3 linked regions of the Macaca mulatta genome follow. The protein of the gene in region 1 purifies or fractionates together with the protein of each later gene. This does not show direct contact. Links are inferred from orthologs where the notes say so. Each region holds a gene or a part of one and is shown in the gene's direction. Other genes may lie near its edges. The genes, in order: ZNF830, PPIL2 and PPIE.

Evidence for each region.
Region 2: the proteins of ZNF830 (region 1) and PPIL2 purify together in Homo sapiens (co-immunoprecipitation; 4 studies listed by BioGRID and IntAct, counting the BioPlex papers as one, with this or other methods). This does not show direct contact. The link is inferred for Macaca mulatta from reciprocal best matches to the Homo sapiens genes ZNF830 and PPIL2.
Region 3: the proteins of ZNF830 (region 1) and PPIE purify together in Homo sapiens (affinity purification with mass spectrometry; 3 studies listed by BioGRID and IntAct, counting the BioPlex papers as one, with this or other methods). This does not show direct contact. The link is inferred for Macaca mulatta from reciprocal best matches to the Homo sapiens genes ZNF830 and PPIE.

The regions. Positions count from the first base shown.
Region 1 is NC_133421.1:44,480,205-44,486,009, forward strand, and holds ZNF830 (zinc finger protein 830), read left to right. Parts: upstream 1-2,511; 5' UTR 2,512-2,538; coding exon 2,539-3,657; 3' UTR 3,658-4,072; downstream 4,073-5,805. Other genes in the region: CCT6B (T-complex protein 1 subunit zeta-2), read right to left, coding at 564-627, 2,230-2,366.
Region 2 is NC_133415.1:31,326,470-31,332,934, reverse strand, and holds the start of PPIL2 (RING-type E3 ubiquitin-protein ligase PPIL2), read left to right. Parts: upstream 1-2,824; 5' UTR 2,825-2,915; coding exon 2,916-2,947; exon of another isoform or gene 2,948-2,990; intron 2,991-6,385; coding exon 6,386-6,435; intron 6,436-6,465. UniProt on the Homo sapiens protein: Has a ubiquitin-protein ligase activity acting as an E3 ubiquitin protein ligase or as an ubiquitin-ubiquitin ligase promoting elongation of ubiquitin chains on substrates.
Region 3 is NC_133406.1:201,027,337-201,033,131, reverse strand, and holds part of PPIE (peptidyl-prolyl cis-trans isomerase E), read left to right. Parts: intron 1-2,411; coding exon 2,412-2,554; intron 2,555-2,789; coding exon of another isoform or gene 2,790-2,858; exon of another isoform or gene 2,859-3,200; intron 3,201-5,795. UniProt on the Homo sapiens protein: Involved in pre-mRNA splicing as component of the spliceosome. Combines RNA-binding and PPIase activities.

The DNA.
Region 1 (5,805 bases):
AGAACATAAGGCAGTACCCCAAAAGATATTATTAATTTATAAGTATGTCTAAGTATACAACATATGTATAAGTATACAAAGACTTGGAAAGAGCCAGAAAAAAAAACTCTTTTTTTTTTTTTTTTGAGACAGTGTTTCACTCTGTCACCCAGGCTGGAGTGCAGTGGCACGATCTCAAGTTCACTGCAGCCTTGGCCTCCTGGGCTCAAGTGATCCTCTTACCTCAGCCTCCTGAGTAGCTGGGACTACAGGCACATGCTACAACACTGAGCAAATTTCTTTTTTTTTTTTTTTTGTAGAGACGGGTTTCACCAAGCCTGGTCTTGAACTCCTGGGCTCAAGCAATTTGGCCACCTCAGCCTCCCAAAGTGTTGGGATTACAGGAGTGAGTTACCACACCCGGCCAAAAAAAATTTTTTTATTGAAGTCTAATTCAACAAGCATATCTCAAGACTCAAGACTGCAGTATTTAGCTGACAGCCTTGGCTTACAGATACACAAGTTCTACTATGCTCCTAATTAAGGCTTATTAAGGTTTATTAAAGTCAGCAGCATCAGCTCACCATCTCTTGGAGCAGCACATTGCCATCTTTGGTGAGTTTGATGTCACCTGCACCAGAAACAAGCCTGTTCAGAGAACAACGATATTAACTTCATGTGGTAGGAAGACACTCCCAGTGCTTGCCATCCCATTATCCTCAACAGAGGGAACTGGGCTTGGAAAACTACTGTACCATGGGAATATGCCATGGTAATTACCACCATTTGCAGCTCACAGAATCATTTCTCCCCAGATGGACAGCTTATGGCGATTTCATTCCAAATGGACCATTTACAGATTTAAAGATAAAAGCAGTTGATGAGTTATGAAAAGTGGTTTGGTCAAAGAATACTTGAAAGTCTACAAAGCACAAATCTGCAAATTTCCTGCAGGTTTTTATTTTGGTGAACGTTTTCATTCAGTCAGTCACTCTAGTTTCCCTCATCCCTGCATTTATTAGATCACCAAGTTCTATCAATTCTACTACCTAAATATCTCTTGAATCTGCCCCCTTCTCTCCATCTCCACTGTTATCATCTCTACCTTGGATAGCATCCAGTTATCTCCAAACTAAAATACACCCTCCACACATTTTTCTTTCTAAAAGGCAACGTGATTCAGTCAGTTCCCTGATCAAAAGTCCTCCAATGATTTTTATGTTTTTCATCATTTTCAAGTTAAAATCCAAACACAGCAGACACTTGACCTTTCTCAATCTGGTTTATGTCTCTCTTCCCTGACTCATCTACTTTCCCACAAGCAAATCTTCTGGTTCCCTTAATACACCATGTTTTGTTTTTTCTATTGGATTTGCACCATTGGTCTTTCTTATTCCTGAAATTACTCTGCCCAGAAGGCCTTTACTCCCTCTTCCAACCCAAGACTCTGATCAAACATCATTTAAGATGCTTGTCCTTCTGCCATCAGTAATTATTCCCTTTCCTCAGCATAATCATATGCATCTATATATAATTAGCACATCCTACTCTACCACATCCGTCTCTACCACATCTCCTTAAGAACAGAAACTGTATCTTGATCATTTCTGTGTCCCAGCAACTAGTACCTAAGTGACTTATTTTACCATTAATATTAATTTATTTTGTTCATTACTATGAGGATGTGTCTCTCCTCTTATACCCTTTTTTCCTCACTGGTCTCTTTTCCTCACTCTTGTCTAGAGAAAACGGTGCTTAATATATACTGAAAAGATGAATAGATATGAAGAACCACAGACACAGGGTATTAAGTAGAAATTGGATTTGACCTCATGCCCTCCTGGCTCCAAAGCCTGTGCCCTCTCCACTACAATACATTGCCACACAAAATACAAAACTAACTACTTGTTGAATTTATGGACTAAAGGTATACAGTCTTAAAGAGCAGAGAAGTTAAATGCTTTATGTTTCCAATAAGACACTAAATTAACTGACTTTCTAACTGCATATGAACCTTGACGAAAAGTAGGGTGTCGGGGGAGCGTCACAATTTCACTCCTGGGGCCTTCTAGGGGAGGCTTTTCTCCTCCACCTGCACCAGGCGAGAAATACCCTCAGGACAGGGATGAGAATGAGGGAAATCAAGCTCGCAAGAACATCCACAGCGCTCCACGGACGCCTGCCTCAGAGGGCTCCAGGACACCCAACAAGCCCCCGGCCGCCTAACGGCCGCTCCAACCGCCGTCTCACATTTTCATGGTGCCTTTAGGACCCAAGTTGGTCCGCAGCACATCCTGCAACCCTCGGGCGGCGCATATATTGACAGACAAAGCTGCCTGGGCCCGCGCCACCTCAGCCTTGGAGTTTACGGCCTTTATCGCAGCCATAGCCTAATCGTTCACAGGAAAAAAAAAAAAAGCCTTAGTCGCGCTTCTGAGCAAAAACGCCAACGCTACGCCACGCTCTCTTGAACCTCGGCCAATCATCGCCCTTACAGGAAGTGACATTATCAAGCCTCGCCGGACGGAAACCAGAATCGCTTTGGGTCTGGTCGCCAAGATGGCGTCCTCCGCCTCCGCCAGGACTCCGGCCGGGAAGCGAGTGGTAAATCAGGAAGAATTGCGGCGGTTAATGAAGGAGAAGCAGCGTCTGAGCACCAATCGGAAACGGATAGAATCTCCATTCGCGAAGTACAACCGTTTGGGGCAGCTGAGTTGTGCCCTGTGTAACACCCCGGTTAAGAGCGAGCTCCTGTGGCAGACTCACGTCCTGGGAAAGCAGCACCGAGAGAAAGTGGCCGAGCTGAAAGGCGCGAAGGAAGCCAGCCAGGGTTCGTCCGCCAGCTCAGCGCCTCAGACCGTCAAGAGGAAAGCGCCGGACGCAGACGGCCAAGACGCCAAGAGAGCGAAGGCCACCTTGGTGCCTCAGGTACAGCCCTCCACATCTGCGTTGCCCACCAACTTTGACAAAATAGGAAAGGAGTTCATTAGAACGACTTCCAGTAAGCCTTCAGGACTCAGTTTACTCCCCGATTATGAAGATGAGGAGGAGGAGGAAGAGGAGGAGGAAGGAGATGGAGAAAGAAAAAGGGGGGACGCCAGCAAGCCGCTGTCCGACGCACAGGGCAAGGAGCACTCAGTTTCTTCTTCGCGGGAGGTAACAAGTAGTGTGCTGCCAGACGATTTCTTTAGTACTAATCCTCCCAAGGCCCCCATAATTCCTCATTCAGGGTCAATTGAGAAAGCAGAAATACATGAAAAAGTGGTGGAAAGGAGAGAAAACACCGCGGAAGCGTTACCGGAAGGTTTTTTTGACGACCCTGAGGTAGATGCAAGGGTGCGAAAGGTTGATGCCCCAAAAGATCAGATGGACAAAGAGTGGGACGAATTCCAAAAAGCCATGAGGCAGGTCAACACTATTTCCGAAGCCATAGTTGCCGAAGAGGATGAGGAGGGACGGTTGGACCGCCAGATTGGGGAGATCGATGAGCAGATAGAGTGTTATCGACGGGTGGAAAAGCTACGGAATCGCCAGGATGAAATAAAAAATAAACTTAAAGAAATCCTGACCATAAAAGAACTGCAGAAAAAGGAAGAAGAGAATGCTGACAGCGATGATGAGGGGGAACTACAGGATTTGTTGTCTCAGGATTGGAGAGTGAAAGGGGCATTGTTATAAGGTTTTAAAGACCCAAGGTTTCTAACAGCCTCTGCTATTGTATAAAAGTGCTGTCTCTCAGTAGTATATCGGTTACTTCATGCCTAGAGATTTGGGTACCTGGATTGCTAAACTGGATTGTTAAGATAAAATGAGCCAGTGAGCTACAGCACTTTGGAAAATTTGTGTAAAATGTTTTTGAGGTAAAGTTGTTTTTGAAATTTCTGAAGTGTTATATACCAAAATGCCAACTGTTCCACAACAGACTTAACTGTATACTTTCGTTGTAAATATTGTACATAGTTAAATCTATATTAAGTAATTCTGTTTTGAATTTTTTTAAATTAATAGACCAACCGGCAAACTTTTAGATGAATGCTCACTGTGGTATTTGTAATGTATTTATCTTCTGAACCCTACATCAAGTTGAAAAGGTTTGTTTTCTTGTTTCTTTGGTTTTTTAAGAACACTTCATGAACACATAAGTCATTATAGGTTAATCAGTTCTCTTAGTATGCTTCATTTTAAAAACAGAAAAATATATGCCAAACACGATCAGCCTCCCTAAACCAGTTTCCCTGGACTAGACCAATGCTGCTCAGATGTGGTTGCACGTGAGAATCACCTATGAAGTATTAAAATAAATTCAAGTGTCTGAGGCCTTCCCCTTCAATAAATCTGGGATGAGGTCCAGGCAACTGTGTTTTTTAAAGCTCCCAGGTTATTCCAATATATGCCAGGATTTAAAGAGTAACTGCCCTAAATCCAGAACCCATTTATGTTTTTCTTTAAATAACATTCCATAAATTTGCTGTTTCTTGAATGAAGGAAATATTATCTTTTATTTATTTCATCCAGCCTTAAATTTTGTTATTTGGTGGTAAATTAGAGTTCCTTGTTTGCAGGTCCTATCTATTGTAGAAAGAATATTTAAGTTGTCTTTCCAGCAGTAACAGTTGGCTCTTGCTGGTCATTGATAGTTTAAATCACTCCTTCCTTTAGAGATTGAGGTACTCAAATAGGAAAAGGGACTTAGCAGTGTTCTGGAGTAGAAATGCATACAGCATATTCAAATAAAAGTGAGCAATAATAATAATAGCTAAGACCTATATAGTTCTTAGTATGGGCCAGGTATGGTTGTAAGTGCTTTACATATATTAACTCAATCTAGTTTCCCTAAATTCCTTTTTTATGGAGAGGAGTACCAAGAGATAAGGTTTGAAAAGCTTTGAATGCTAAGTGAAAACTTTTTATGAAGTTCATATGAAAATGGAGGTTTTGAGCGAAGAATGACATCTGCAAAGAAATATCATGGAACATTAACAGTATATAGAATGGAATGAACACAGGGTAGAAGGAAACTAGGAGCTATTTGAAAACTATATTTTCAAAAGCGAGGTGACAAGACTGATTAGCTGTGGATTGGGAGAAAAGGAATAGAAGTGAAAGATTTTCAAAGGAATAGCTAAATTTTAGTGACTAGAAGTGGAAGAAGAAAAACAGGAGGGATAAGTACAGAATTCAAGATTTTGTATTTAGTGTCACTGCCTAAAAGGATTTATCTAACACTTATTGAACAGTTGCTGTGTACCACAAATTATTATTAATAATTGTCCTGCTGCCTTTGGCAGTCTTCTTCCTTGAGCTGCTAGCTGATCAGTGATAGCAGCTTCCATTTGATGAGACATGGCTTGCTTGCCTCAAATGTGTGAACCCACTGTTACTCAGAATTTTCCCTTCATTCATCACTATTACGCCAGGAAGAAAGTACAAATATAGGTTTGAATGGTGGGCCCAGTATTGCCTTGGCTAACAATCTAGTGGAGTACTGTCCACTAAAGATATAATGCCGCTGGGTGTGGTGGCTCATGCCTATAATCCTAGCACTTTGGGAATCCGAGGCGGGTGGATCACTTGACCTCAGAAGTTCAAGACCAGCCTGGGCAACATGGCAAAACCCCATCTCTACAAAAAATACAAAAAAAAAAAAATTATCTGGGTGTGGTGGCATGCACCTGTAGTCCCAGCTACTTGGGATGCTGAGGTGGGAGGATCACCTGTGCCAGGGGAGGTGGAGGCTGCAGTGAACTGTGATTGTGCCACTGCACTCCCGCATGGGTAACAGTATGACCCTGTCTCAGAAAGTCAAAAAATATAATGCAAGCCATA
Region 2 (6,465 bases), on another chromosome or scaffold:
TCTCCATCTCCTGACATCATGATCCACCCGCCTCGGCCTCCCAAAGTGGTGGGATTACAGGCGTGACCCACCGTGCCCAGCAGAAAATCCTGTACTTTCAAGGCTATAGGAAGATACTCATTTTAGCTATGGAAATCTTACCAGATTGGCTTTTTTGGTTGTTTTTGAGACAGTTTCACTCCTGTTGCCCAGGCTAGAGTGCAATGGCGCCATCTTGGCTCACTGCAACCTCCCCCTCCCAAGTTCAAGTGATTCTCTTGCCTCAGCCTCTCGAGTATCTGGGATTACAGGCACCCGCCACCACGCCTGGCTAATTTTTTTTTTCTTAGATGGGGTTTCATCATGTTGGCCAGGATGGTCCTGATCTCCGTCTCAAAAAATAATAATAAATCTTCAATTTCACCAATAACAACAGATGCAAAATACTCCATCAAATGGGTGGAACATCATTTACTCAACTGTTTTTTCTTTTTTTTTTTTCTGAGATGGAGTCTCACTCTGTCGCCCAGGCTGGAGTGTACTGACGCATCTCCGTTCACTGCAAGCTCCGCTTCTCAGGTTCATGCCTTTCTCCTGCCTCAGCCTCCTGAGTAGTTGGAACTACAGGCGCCCGCCACCACGCCCGGATAATTTTTTGTATTTCTAGTAGAGAGAGGGTTTCACCCTGTTAGCCAGGATGGTCTCCATCTCCTGACCTCGTGATCCACCCGCCTCGGCCTCCCAAAACTCTGGGATTACAGGCGTGAGCGACCGTGCCCGGCCTCAACTGTTCTTGCTTGTTGAAATATTTCTCCAATGGGGTCAATTTTTAGGTTATTGGTGCATTGTATTTTCTGACTGAGTCATCATGGTGCATCACCACAAATGGGTTATTTTTAATTGGTTTGTATTTATTTGTTTGCTCACTTATTTAGAGACAGAGTTTTGCTCTGTTGCCAAGGCTGGAGTGCAGTGGCACGATCTCGGTTCACTGCAACCTCCGCCTCCCGGGTTCAAGCGATTACCATGCCTCAGCCTCCTAAGGAGCTGGGATCACAGGCACATGCCACCATGCCCAGCTAATTTTTGTATTTTTAGTAGAGATGGGGTTTCACCATGTTGGCCAGACTGGTCTTGAACTTCTGTCCTCAGGTGATCCACCTGCCTCAGCCTCCCAAAGTGCTGGAATTACAGGCATGAGCCACTGCATCCGGCCTTAATTGGTTTTTAAACTTCTACAAATGCAGACCATGTTCCATGGAAAAAAGTTCACAATACAGAAGTGAATACAGAAAATACGAGTCCACTGCTGCTATGAGTTTCATGTGTACCCTTCCAAATGTTTTGTCTCTGCACACAAACACACACACATACATTAAAATTTTAACCCAAGTACGAGTCACATTGCACGTTCTTCTCAGCAACTTGCTTTTTTCCATAAATAAAACACTGAGATGTCTTTACTTCTTGGGATATCTACTTCATTCCTTTAAGCAGTTCCAAAATAGTCCACTGCATGGCTGTACCAGGGGTCGTTTAGCTGTGTTCTCATAGACATTTGTTTCCAGTTTTTTTTTTTTCTTTGAGACAGAGTCTTGTTCTGTCACCCCAGGCTGGAGTACAATGGCACAATCTTGGCTCACTGCAACCTCTGCCTCCTGGGTTCAAGTGATTCTCACTGCCTCAACCTCCTGAGTAGCTGGAACTACAGGCACCCGCCACCACACCCGGCTAATTTTTGTATTTTTAGTAGAGACAGGGTTTTGCAATGTTGGCCAGGCTAGTCTTGAACTCCTGACCTCAAGTGATCCGCTTGCCTCAGCCTCTCCAAGTGCCGGGATTACAGGTGTGAGCCACCACGTCCGTCCAGACATGTTAAATTTGAGATCAGCGGCTACCCAAGTGGAGATCAGGAACCTGGAGTACTGGTGACTTAGTATTGGGAGTCATGGGATATAAATGGCGTTTAAAATTAGGAGCCTAGGCAAGATTACCCCGGGCCTGAGTGTAGTTGGGGGCCCAAGGTACTGTTCTGACCCAAGGCAAGAGTCTGGCAGAAGAGAAGGAAGGGATCAGGCAGGGTTTTGGACCTCTAGGCTTGATGGCCACCTGCTGCTGGGCCTCCAAGGGGCCTGGAGGCGGTGCGGACGGAATATGCAGAGAGAATGAGAAGTGAGCGAGTAGAACGAGGGTGGTACATGGCTTTGAAGGAGTCGGCCACGGAGGCGGGAAAGGATGGGGTGGAGGCTCATGAGACTTGAAGCTCTAGGAGGACATTGAAAAAGACCTGAGCGCTGGCCGGGCGCGGAGGCTCAGGCCTGTAATCCCAGCACTTTGGGAGGCCAAGGCGGGAGGACTGCTTGAGCTCAAGAGCTCCAGACCAGCCTGGGCAAAATAGTAAGAGCTTGTCTCTACAAAAAATTAACATATTAGCCGGGTGTGGTGGCGCGTGCCCGTAGCTACTCGGGAGGCTGAGGTGGGAGAATCGCTTGAGCCTGGGAGGTCGAGGCTGTAGTGAGCTGTGATTGCGCCACTGCACTCCAACCTGGGCGACAGAGCGAGATCCTGTCTCGAAAATAAAATAAGACCTGAGAACCCAGTATGGGAATGGCCCTGAGCCGTGGCTGAGGGGGGCAGGCGAGGCGGTCGGGAGAGACCCTTCGAGAAGATGGGGCTTCGAGGCTGAGGGAGCTCTGCCCCGAGAAGGCGCCAGCGAGACACAACACACCTAGCTAGGACCCCATACTGGGCAGGCGATCCTTCCGAGCATGCGCACCTGGCGCTAGCGAACCACAATTCCCAGCACGCCAAGCGCCTGTTTCCGGGGCGAGCCGCGGAACCCGGAAGTGGTCACGAAACTCGGCCGTGGCTCCATGGTCTGAGTGGTCAGCGGTTGCTTTTTCGTGCTAGGTAGTTGCCGCCGCCGCCGCGCCGCCATGGGGAAGCGACAGCACCAGAAGGACAAGATGTAAGTTGAGTCGCAGTCGGGAGTGGCGCTCCGCTCTGCCTCAGTAAACCGCCTGTCCCGCCCTGCTCGCCGCTCGCCTTCCCTCTCAGCTGGTCCCCAGAGCCCAGCCCAAAAGTCACTTCCTCCCGGAAGCTGCCACCGTCTCTCCAGTCAGGGTAATGACCCTCGGGCCGCCGCGCTCTCCCAGGGGGCCGCGGCTCCGAAGACGTCAGCTGCGGGCTCGAGCGCAGCCCGGTCTTTCTTTACTCTAGTTCTGCCCGGACCGTGCCCCGTCTGCTCGCGAGCTTTGCCCCTGTAGTCTCTCCCTCTTCCGTACTTCGCGTCTGGCTGTGTTCTGGTTCATGCCTATCAGCCTGCACACGTGCTGCAGAGCCTTCCTATTTAAAGCAAACCAGGCCGGGCGCGGTGGCTCACCTGTAATCCCAGCACTTTGGGAGGCTGAGGCGGGCGGATCACCTGAGGTCAGGAGTTCAAGACCAGCCTGGCCACCATGATGAAACCCCGTCTCTACCCAAAACACAAAAATTAGCGGGGCGTGGTGGCGGGCGCCTGTAATCCTAGCTACTCGGGAGGCTGAGGCAGGAGAATCGCTTGAACCCGGGAGGCGGAGATTGCCGTGAGCCGAGATCGTGTCACTGCACTCCAGCCTGGGCGACAGAGCCAGACTCTGTCTCAAAAATAATAAATAAAATAAAACAAAAAAATCCGCCTATGCCCCGTGCCCCGCGTTCCCCTCCTGCTGCCGCCGTGATTTCAGAACAAGTTAGAGACCCGTGGCTTCATGCTGTTTTCTGAGTCTCTTGAAACCACTCAAGTCAGAATTTCGATCCCAGAACTGCCCCTTGTCAGGTTGCCAGCGACTTCTTGTTGCTAACTCTAGTATTCAATCCTCAGTCCTCGTGTTTTTTTTGAGACGGAGTTTCGCTCTTGTTGCCCATGCTGGGGAGTGCAGTGGTGCGATCTCGGCTTTCCGCAACCCCCGCTTCCCAGGTTCAAGCGATTCTCCTGCTTCAGCCTCCCGAATAGCTGGGATTACAGGCATGTGCCCCCAGGCCCGGCTAATTTTGTATTTTTAGTAGAGAAGGGGGTTTCTCCATGTTGGTCAGGCTGGTCTCGAACTCCGATCTCAGGTGATCCGCCCGCCTTGGCCTCCCAAAGTACTGGGATTATAGGCGAGCCACCGCGCCAGGCAGCCTCAGTCCTCATTTTGTTGGGGTTCTCAACAGTATGTCACACTGTTAACCACTCCCTCCTTCTGAAGCCCTCCTTTGGTATCTGAGATTTCCTGTGCTCTTTGTTTTCCATCGACTTCAGCGGCCTCTCTTTTCCCAGCCTCCTTTCTGGACCCTCCTCCCTTTTCTCAGATCTCATAGGTTTCTTTTCCATAAACATTCTCTGTGAGTGATATAATTTCCCAGTCATCTATAAGCTGCTTTCCCCAGTCTTGTGTAGTTAGTGGCTTACTTGATATCTCCACTGGAGGACTGATAAACATCTCAATTTTTTTTTTTTTTTTTTTTTTTTTTTTTTTTTTGAGACGGGAGTCTCAGGCTGTTGCCCAGGCTGGAGTGCAGTGGCGCGATCTCGGCTCACTGCAAGCTCCGCCTCCTGGGTTCACGCCATTCTCCTGCCTCAGCCTCCTGAGTAGCTGGGACTACAGGCGCCCGCCACCGCGCCCGGCTAATTTTTTGTATTTTTAGTAGAGACGGGGTTTCACTGTGGTCTCGATCTCCTGACCTCGTGATCCGCCCGTCTCGGCCTCCCAAAGTGCTGGGATTACAGGCTTGAGCCACCGCGCCCGGCCTCAATTTTTTTTTTTTTTGAGATGGAGTCTTGCTGTGTTGCCCAGGCTGGAGTGCAATGGTGCGATCTTGGCTCACTGCAACCTCTACTTCCCAGATTCAAGCGATTCTCCCACCTCCGCCTCCCCAGTAGCTGAGATTACAGGCGCCTGCCACCATGCCCGGCTAATTTTTGTATTTTTAGTAGAGACAGGTTTCACCATGTTGGCCAGGCTGGTATCAAACTCCTGACCTCGGGTGATCCACACGCCTCTGCCTCCCAAAGTGCTGGGATTACAGGCATGAGCCACCGTGCCCTCAAATTTAATATGCCTTAAACAGAACTCTTGATTTTCAGCTCCTGAGCCTGCTCCTCCCTGTAAGCTAAAAATAAAATCCTAAATCCCCTTACTGGCTGAGCAGACACCCTTGTGCCTAAGAGAACTCCAGGAAAACCTTAAAACTGAGTTCCTGGCCATGATGCGATGGAGGTCAGCTGTACCTTGTTATATCTTCCTCCCTTTTGTGGCCCAGACACAACAACTGACTGGCATTAACGTTGAAATAGAGATCATAAAGGGGCCCGGCGCGGTGGCTCGCACCTGTAATCCCAGCACTTTGGGAGGCTGAGGTGGTGGATCATGAGGTCAGGAGATCGAGACCATCCTGGTTAACATGGTGAAACCCCGTCTCTACTAAAAATACAAAAAAAAAAAAAATTAGCCGAGCGTGGTGGCTAATTTTTAATAAAAATAAAGAAATAGAAATAAGATTGATGAAACAGACTCTTTGTGGCAATAAGATACCAAATTATAAATAGAACCTATAGTCATGCCAGACAACTTCCCTGGTTAAGTTACCCACCCCTACGCCTAAAGAATAAACTATATCCTTTTTTTTTTTTTTTTTTTTTTTTTTTTTTTTTTTTTTTTGAGACAAGTCTTACTCTGTCGCCCAGGCTGGAGTATAGTGGTGCGATCTCGGTTCACTGCAACGTCTGCCTCCCAGGTTCAAGCAATTCTCTGCCTCAGCCTCCTGAGTAGCTGGGATTACAAGCACCCACCATCACGCCCAGCGAATTTTTTTTTTTTTTTTTTTTTTTTTTTTTTTGAGACGGAGTCTCACTCTGCTGCCCAGGCTAGAGTGCAGTGCAGTGGCCGGATCTCAGCTCACTGCAAGCTCCGCCTCCCGGGTTTACGCCATTCTCCTGCCTCAGCCTCCCGAGTAGCTGGGACTACAGGCGCCCGCCATGTCGCCCGGCTAGTTTTTCGTATTTTTTTAGTAGAAACGGGGTTTCACCGTGTTAGCCAGGATGGTCTCGATCTCCCGACCTCGTGATCTGCCCGTCTTGGCCTCCCAAAGTGCTAGGATTACAGGCTTGAGCCACCGCGCCCGGCCGCCCAGCGAATTTTTGTAATTTTAGTAGAGACGCGGTTTCACCTTGTTGGCCAGGCTTGTCCCAAACTCCTGACCTCTAGTGATTCACCCACCTCGGGCTCCCAAAGTGTTGGGATTACAGGCATTAACCACCATGCCCGTCCCATGCTTATAGGTGTTTAATAAGCATATGCGGAATAAGCAAAGATTACTCACTTCCAAAGACTTTGTTCTCTGTATAAAGGTGGTGGTCATAGCATTATCTTCCTCTCTTCTTCAGGTACATTACTTGTGCTGAATATACTCACTTTTATGGTGGCAAGAAGCCAGGTAAGGCTTGCGGTCTTTCTGTTCCCCGTT
Region 3 (5,795 bases), on another chromosome or scaffold:
AATATTTGCATTATATTTACCAGTTGAGCATCCCAAATTGGAATATCTCAAATCTGAAATGCTCCAGTGAGCATTTCCCTTTGAGCATCATGTCGGTGCTCACGAAGTTTCAGATTTTGGAGCATTTTGGATTTTCACATTTGGGATGCTCAGCCTATACTAACTCTGTGCTCCTTGATTCCTTCACTTGGCTGGCAGGACTCCTGCCTCTTCTTGTCTCCTTTTACCTAGATGGCTGCTTTGTCTGTCTTTGCTGTCTCCTTCTTTTCCTGACCCTTAAACACTGAAGTGGCTCAGAGCCCATTCTTTTGTTCTCCAGAAGCCTGTTACCCTGTGCTCCGTTTTTCTAACTGGTGGTTTGTAGAGCCCCTCTTTACTATACTGAACCGATATGTGTAGGTGATATAGCCCACTGACCCACACCATTATTTTAAAACTCAATATATCTGTAACTATAGTAGGGAAGAACATCAGAGGAAATAAATGAATTTGCATAGTAATCGAATGTGTTTCCAGATGTACATGCTTAAGCACAGCTGTGTCAGAACACAAAGTGAATTATTCAGGCGTCTGCACCTGTACTCAAATGCAGAGTTAGAAGTGTAGACGGGAGTGTCAACTGATAACTTGGATACCACTAGCAATGATGCTATTGGTGATACGACTTTGTGAAATGGTAAATAAAGTTGATTAGATTCCAAAGTAAAGAATAATCTGTTTATTTACATAGTAGTTACATTCCTAGAAGATTCCATGCAAAACCAAAAGAACTCCAAAACTTTGGGCTTATATGTATAATGCAATTATGTTTTAGGTGCAGATAACTGTAAACACATTTTTTCCCTATACCGATATCTAATGGGCTATTCGTTGTTTTGTTGTTGTTTGGTTTTTGTTTTTTTGAGATAGGGTCTCTGTTGCTCAGGCTGGAGTGCAGTGGTGCAAGACAGCTCACTGTAGCCTCAACCTCTCCAGCTAAAGCAGTCCTCCTGCCTAAGCCTCCCAAACAGCTGGGATTACAGGTGCACGCCATCCATAATGCCCGGCTAATTTTTAAGTTTTTTTGTAGAGATGAGGTTTCATTGTATTGCTCAGGCTAGTCTGGAACTCTTAGCTTCAAGTGATCCTCCCACTTCAGCCTCCCAAAGTGCTGGGATTACAGGCATTAGCCACTGCACCCAATCTCTAGCAGGATGTTTGAAAGACCAAGAGGATATGAGACAATTCATTGTGCCAGACATTGCAGAACATCTAGCATTCCAGGCCCCCACCTGCTAAATGGCAGTAGCCCCCCGCACAGTGTTTCACACAGTCAAAAACACTTTCAAGCCAGGCATGGTGGCTCATGTCTGTAATCCCAACACTTTGGGAGTCTGAAGTGGCAGCCCAAAGCCAGACGATCACGTGAGTTCAGGAGTTTGAGACCAGCCTGGGCAACATAGTGAGACCCCTGTCTCTACCAAAAAAAGAATTAAAAAATTATCCAGGTGTGGTGGTACATGCCTGTAGTCTCAGCTGCTTGGGAGCTGAGGTGAGAGGATTGCTTGCGCCCCAGAGATTGAGGATGCAGTGAGCTGCGATCATACCACTGCACTCCAGCCTGGGTGACAGAGTGATCCCCATCTCAAAAAAAATAAATTCAGATTTCCAAAGGTTTCCTAGGGACAGGACACCAACCCCACTGAGAAGCAGTGCCCTAGGCAGTCACACCCGGTCCCAGAGCTTTCAGCAGTATCTCTGAGTTAAGCTTGTGCACATTGGCGTCTGCATGCTGATGGCTCCCTGAGCTCCAGACTCCTGTCCAGCTGTCTTTACTGGATATCCTGGGAGCATCTCACACTTCACACGTCTAAAACAGCTCTTGGCCTTCTCCCCGAAACTCTTCCTCTTCCCCCTCTTCTCTGTTTCAATAAATGACTCCACCGCTTGATCAGAAACTTAGGAGTCATTGTGGACACATACACACACACATACATACATGTACACAGACACACACATATATATGTACATTCTCTTATGTGACAAATGTCCATGTTACCAGGCCTCACTGTGTCATAGCTGTCATTTTGAATGGCTCTTTTCCACTGACTGTGAGCTCCACCAGAGCTTGGACTATGTTCAGCTCATCAGTGTTCCCAGGGCTTAACAGGGACCTGGTTGCCAAGTAGACACTTAATTGTTAAATAAATGAATTACTGAACGAACAGACCAGTGTAAAGTGATTGAAACACCTCATTCACCATTTCACTGACTATTAACTGAATCAAAGACAAGGTGGCCACATTTGCATGTTGTCTATGCATCCCGGAGTCTGAGCCTGCCTGACTGAAGGGCTGTCGACAGCCTGCACAGACGTCCATTAAGGGCTGGTAGCCAGGGTTGGGGGAGCTGATGGTTGTTCTGTCCCCCAGGTCTACTCTCCATGGCCAACTCTGGCCCAAACACCAATGGCTCCCAGTTCTTCCTGACATGTGACAAAACAGACTGGCTGGATGGCAAGCACGTGGTGTTTGGAGAGGTCACCGAAGGCCTAGATGTCTTGCAGCAAATTGAGGTATGTGGCCAGGAATGGGCCTCCTCCTCACCCAGGCCCTTGGAGCACAGCCCTGTGGGAGGGCTGGAAAGGCTCTGTGGCCTCAGAGAGATGGCCAGGGGCTGTGTCCAGCGGGAGGGGCTGCTGCTGCCCAGGTTCTGGGGTGGAAGTGGGCATATGGGCAGGCAGGGGTTGGCATCCCGAAACTACTGTTAGTTTCCCGCCTTACTCCCTCACTTCTGTTCTGCCCACAAAGGCCCAGGGCAGCAAGGACGGGAAGCCAAAGCAGAAGGTGATCATCGCCGACTGTGGGGAGTACGTGTGAGGCGGCACTCTCTGCTTCCCCCTCCGCTCTTGCCCCTGCACATCCAGGAAGGAGCTGCCAGCCTCAGAGGAGGCAGCACCGAGGGTGCCTGTTTGAAGCAAGCAGCATTTGGTGTATGAGCCCTTCCTCAGGGTCCGCTTGGAGTAGCTCCTCTGCAGGCACAGCCTGGACTATTCCCAAGCGCGGCTGTGGGCCCAGGAGCCAGCGCAGGTGCTCCCCTCCACCATGGGCAGGCTGTGTAAAAAGCCACTGGCTTTTCTCAGCATTTGCTGCTGGGCCTGTCCTGGGACTACCAGTGTGGCTCTTAGGTGTTTTCTTTGCTAAAATAAACCCTTGTTCTTATGCTGCTGCCTCCTGCTAGTTCTTGGGAGTTGCCAGAGATAGTGTCTGTGGCTAAGCTGGACCTCTGAGGCAGGCTGGTGAGTGGGGAGAGCAGAGTATCTTTCCACAGCTTTCATTTCCTCCCTTGGGCTGATCCCCTTAGATGTCAGGTGATGTATCTTCACACCAGGCATCCGTGTCAGGGCAACGGAAATTAAAGACTATGGAAGGTTTGGTCTTCTGCTACCTCTGCTCCCAAACCCAGGTGCCAGTCTTACAGCCAGCAAGTATACTCTCAGTGGTTCGTTTGTTTGTTCACTTTCGCCCTACAGATTTTAAAAAATGAAATTTTTATAACTCAGAGTGCCTTCTCTGTGCCAAGTACTATGCCTGTTTGTCAGGAAACATAAGGCCAACAAACTACATGTGCCTAATCCAGCCCACTGCCTGTTTTTATGAATCAGGTTTTATTGGAACACAGCCACATCCATTTGTTTACATATTGTCCATGGTGGTTTCTCACTGCAGTGTCAAAATTGAGTAGTAGACACAATGCAGGCTATGGTCCCTGTATTAGGGTTTTCTAGAGAAGCAGAACCAATAGGATGTGTATATATGTAGAGAGAGAGATTTATTTTAAGGAACTGGCTCAGGCAGTTGTGGGAGCTGGCAGATCTGGAATCTGCACAACAGGCCAGCAGGCTGGAGACTCAGGAAAAAAACTGATGTTGCAGTGCAAGTCTGAGGCACTTTGGAAGCAGAATTCTTCCTCTAGTGATCTCAGTCTTTTTTCTCTTAAGAATTTCAACTGATTGGATGAAGCCTACTCACATTATGGAGGGTAATCTGCTTTACTTTCTACTGACTTAAATATGAATCCATCTAAAAAATAGGCCAGGCAACTATTGGGAGGCTGAGGCAGGAGGATCACTTGAGCCCAGGAATTCAAGACCAGCCTGGGCAATGTAGTGAGACCCCCATCTCTAGGGGGGGAAAAAAAAAAGCCAGGTATGGTGGTGTACGCCTGTAGTCCCAGCTACTCAGAAGGCTGAGGTGAGAGGATCACTTGAACCTGGGAGGTTGAGCCACGGTCATGCCACTGTACTCCAGCCTGGGTGACAGAGTGAGACCCTGTCTCGAAAAAAAGAAACCATCATCACAGCAACATCTAGACTAGTGTTTGACTAAAAACTGGATACCATGGCCTAGTCAAATTGACACACAAAATAGACCATCACAGTCCCAAGGCCTAAAATACTATCTGAGCCTTTACAAAACAGGATTGCTGGCCACTGAAGAGAACAAATGGTCCCACCCCCGGCTGGGCTCACAGTCTGGCTCTCCTGTGTGCAGCCACTTCTTGGAGCTGGCTTCTCTCCATTCCCCTCCAGGTGCTGGTCAGCCAGGCGCTTGTAAAGAATCTCATCTGCTGAAGGCTCTTAGCAGGGACTGAGCCCTGTAGCTGCTGGACACCTCCTGTGGGTTGGGTCGCTCAGACCATTCAGAATCCACTGAGCTGAGCTTTTGCATCTTGGATTGAGATCTGAATGAGCCGCGAGGCAGGAGAGGCCCCCTGGTCCTCATGAGCCTAGGATAGCTCCTGCTGAGGGATGTTGGCATTCTGGCCCTGCCTGTGGCTCCCATGTGCCGACTGGACTTTCTGAGCTCCAACTGCTACAGTTGGCTGAGTTTCGGGCTCCAGGTAGCTGGGATGTACCACGTGGTTACCCCTCACCCCTGTGGAGCTTCCAAAAGAGACTGTCCCTCAAAGCACAGCTCCTTCTCAGTGCAAATTATGGCCATCAGAGGTCAGTCACAGGTGTTAGGCAGGCATCTATGAAGCTGGGGATGATAGCACTGACTTCAGTGCTTGGATGAGAACCAAGAGAGAGTGTGTAGAAAAAGCACAGCCAGCCTCCCATAAAAGGACAGACTCCTGTGACAATTTTGTCACTCTGTTCCTCCCTGATATTCTGGGGAGGTGGAGGCCAGTGGGCAGTTCTGAAAGCTCAGCAGGTTTGGAGCCACTGGGTGTGGACTTCTCTCTCAGTGCTCCACCTGGGTGTCCACAGATGTTATTCAATGCACACTGGAACCCTGCACAGGTAAACTGAGGCTTTAGTGGTATGACTGCCAAAGGTCACACAGGATGGTTTGGCAGAGCTGGGATTAGAAGCCCAGCCTGTCTCTCTTCAGTAGTAACGGAGTCCTGGGTGGCTTACTAGGCTTTAGCCTCAATCTGTGGCAGGCAGAGTCCACAGCCCTGGGGAGTGACACCGTCAAGGTTCCCATGATTGGCCAGGACCTTTGTGGAGAGACACAGGAGACAAGACCCTGTTCTTCCAGGCCGGGAGGGGAGCCCCAGAGCTGGGCAGCGGAATGCCCCACAGCCTGGCCACCTGCTTCGGATACGCACCATGCAGCAGCTGCCCCTGGCTGCCTTGAGAAAACTGACCTCTCTGGGAAGTGGACCCAGTGGCTCTGTGGGTGCCCTTTCCTGTAGCCTGGAGAGCAAAGCGGCTTTCCCTGGCACTATGTGGCTCCTGTCCCAACTGGCCTTCCAATCCACGTTCCCTTTGCTGGACCAGCACCAGGACTGGGCACAGGGCTTCCTTT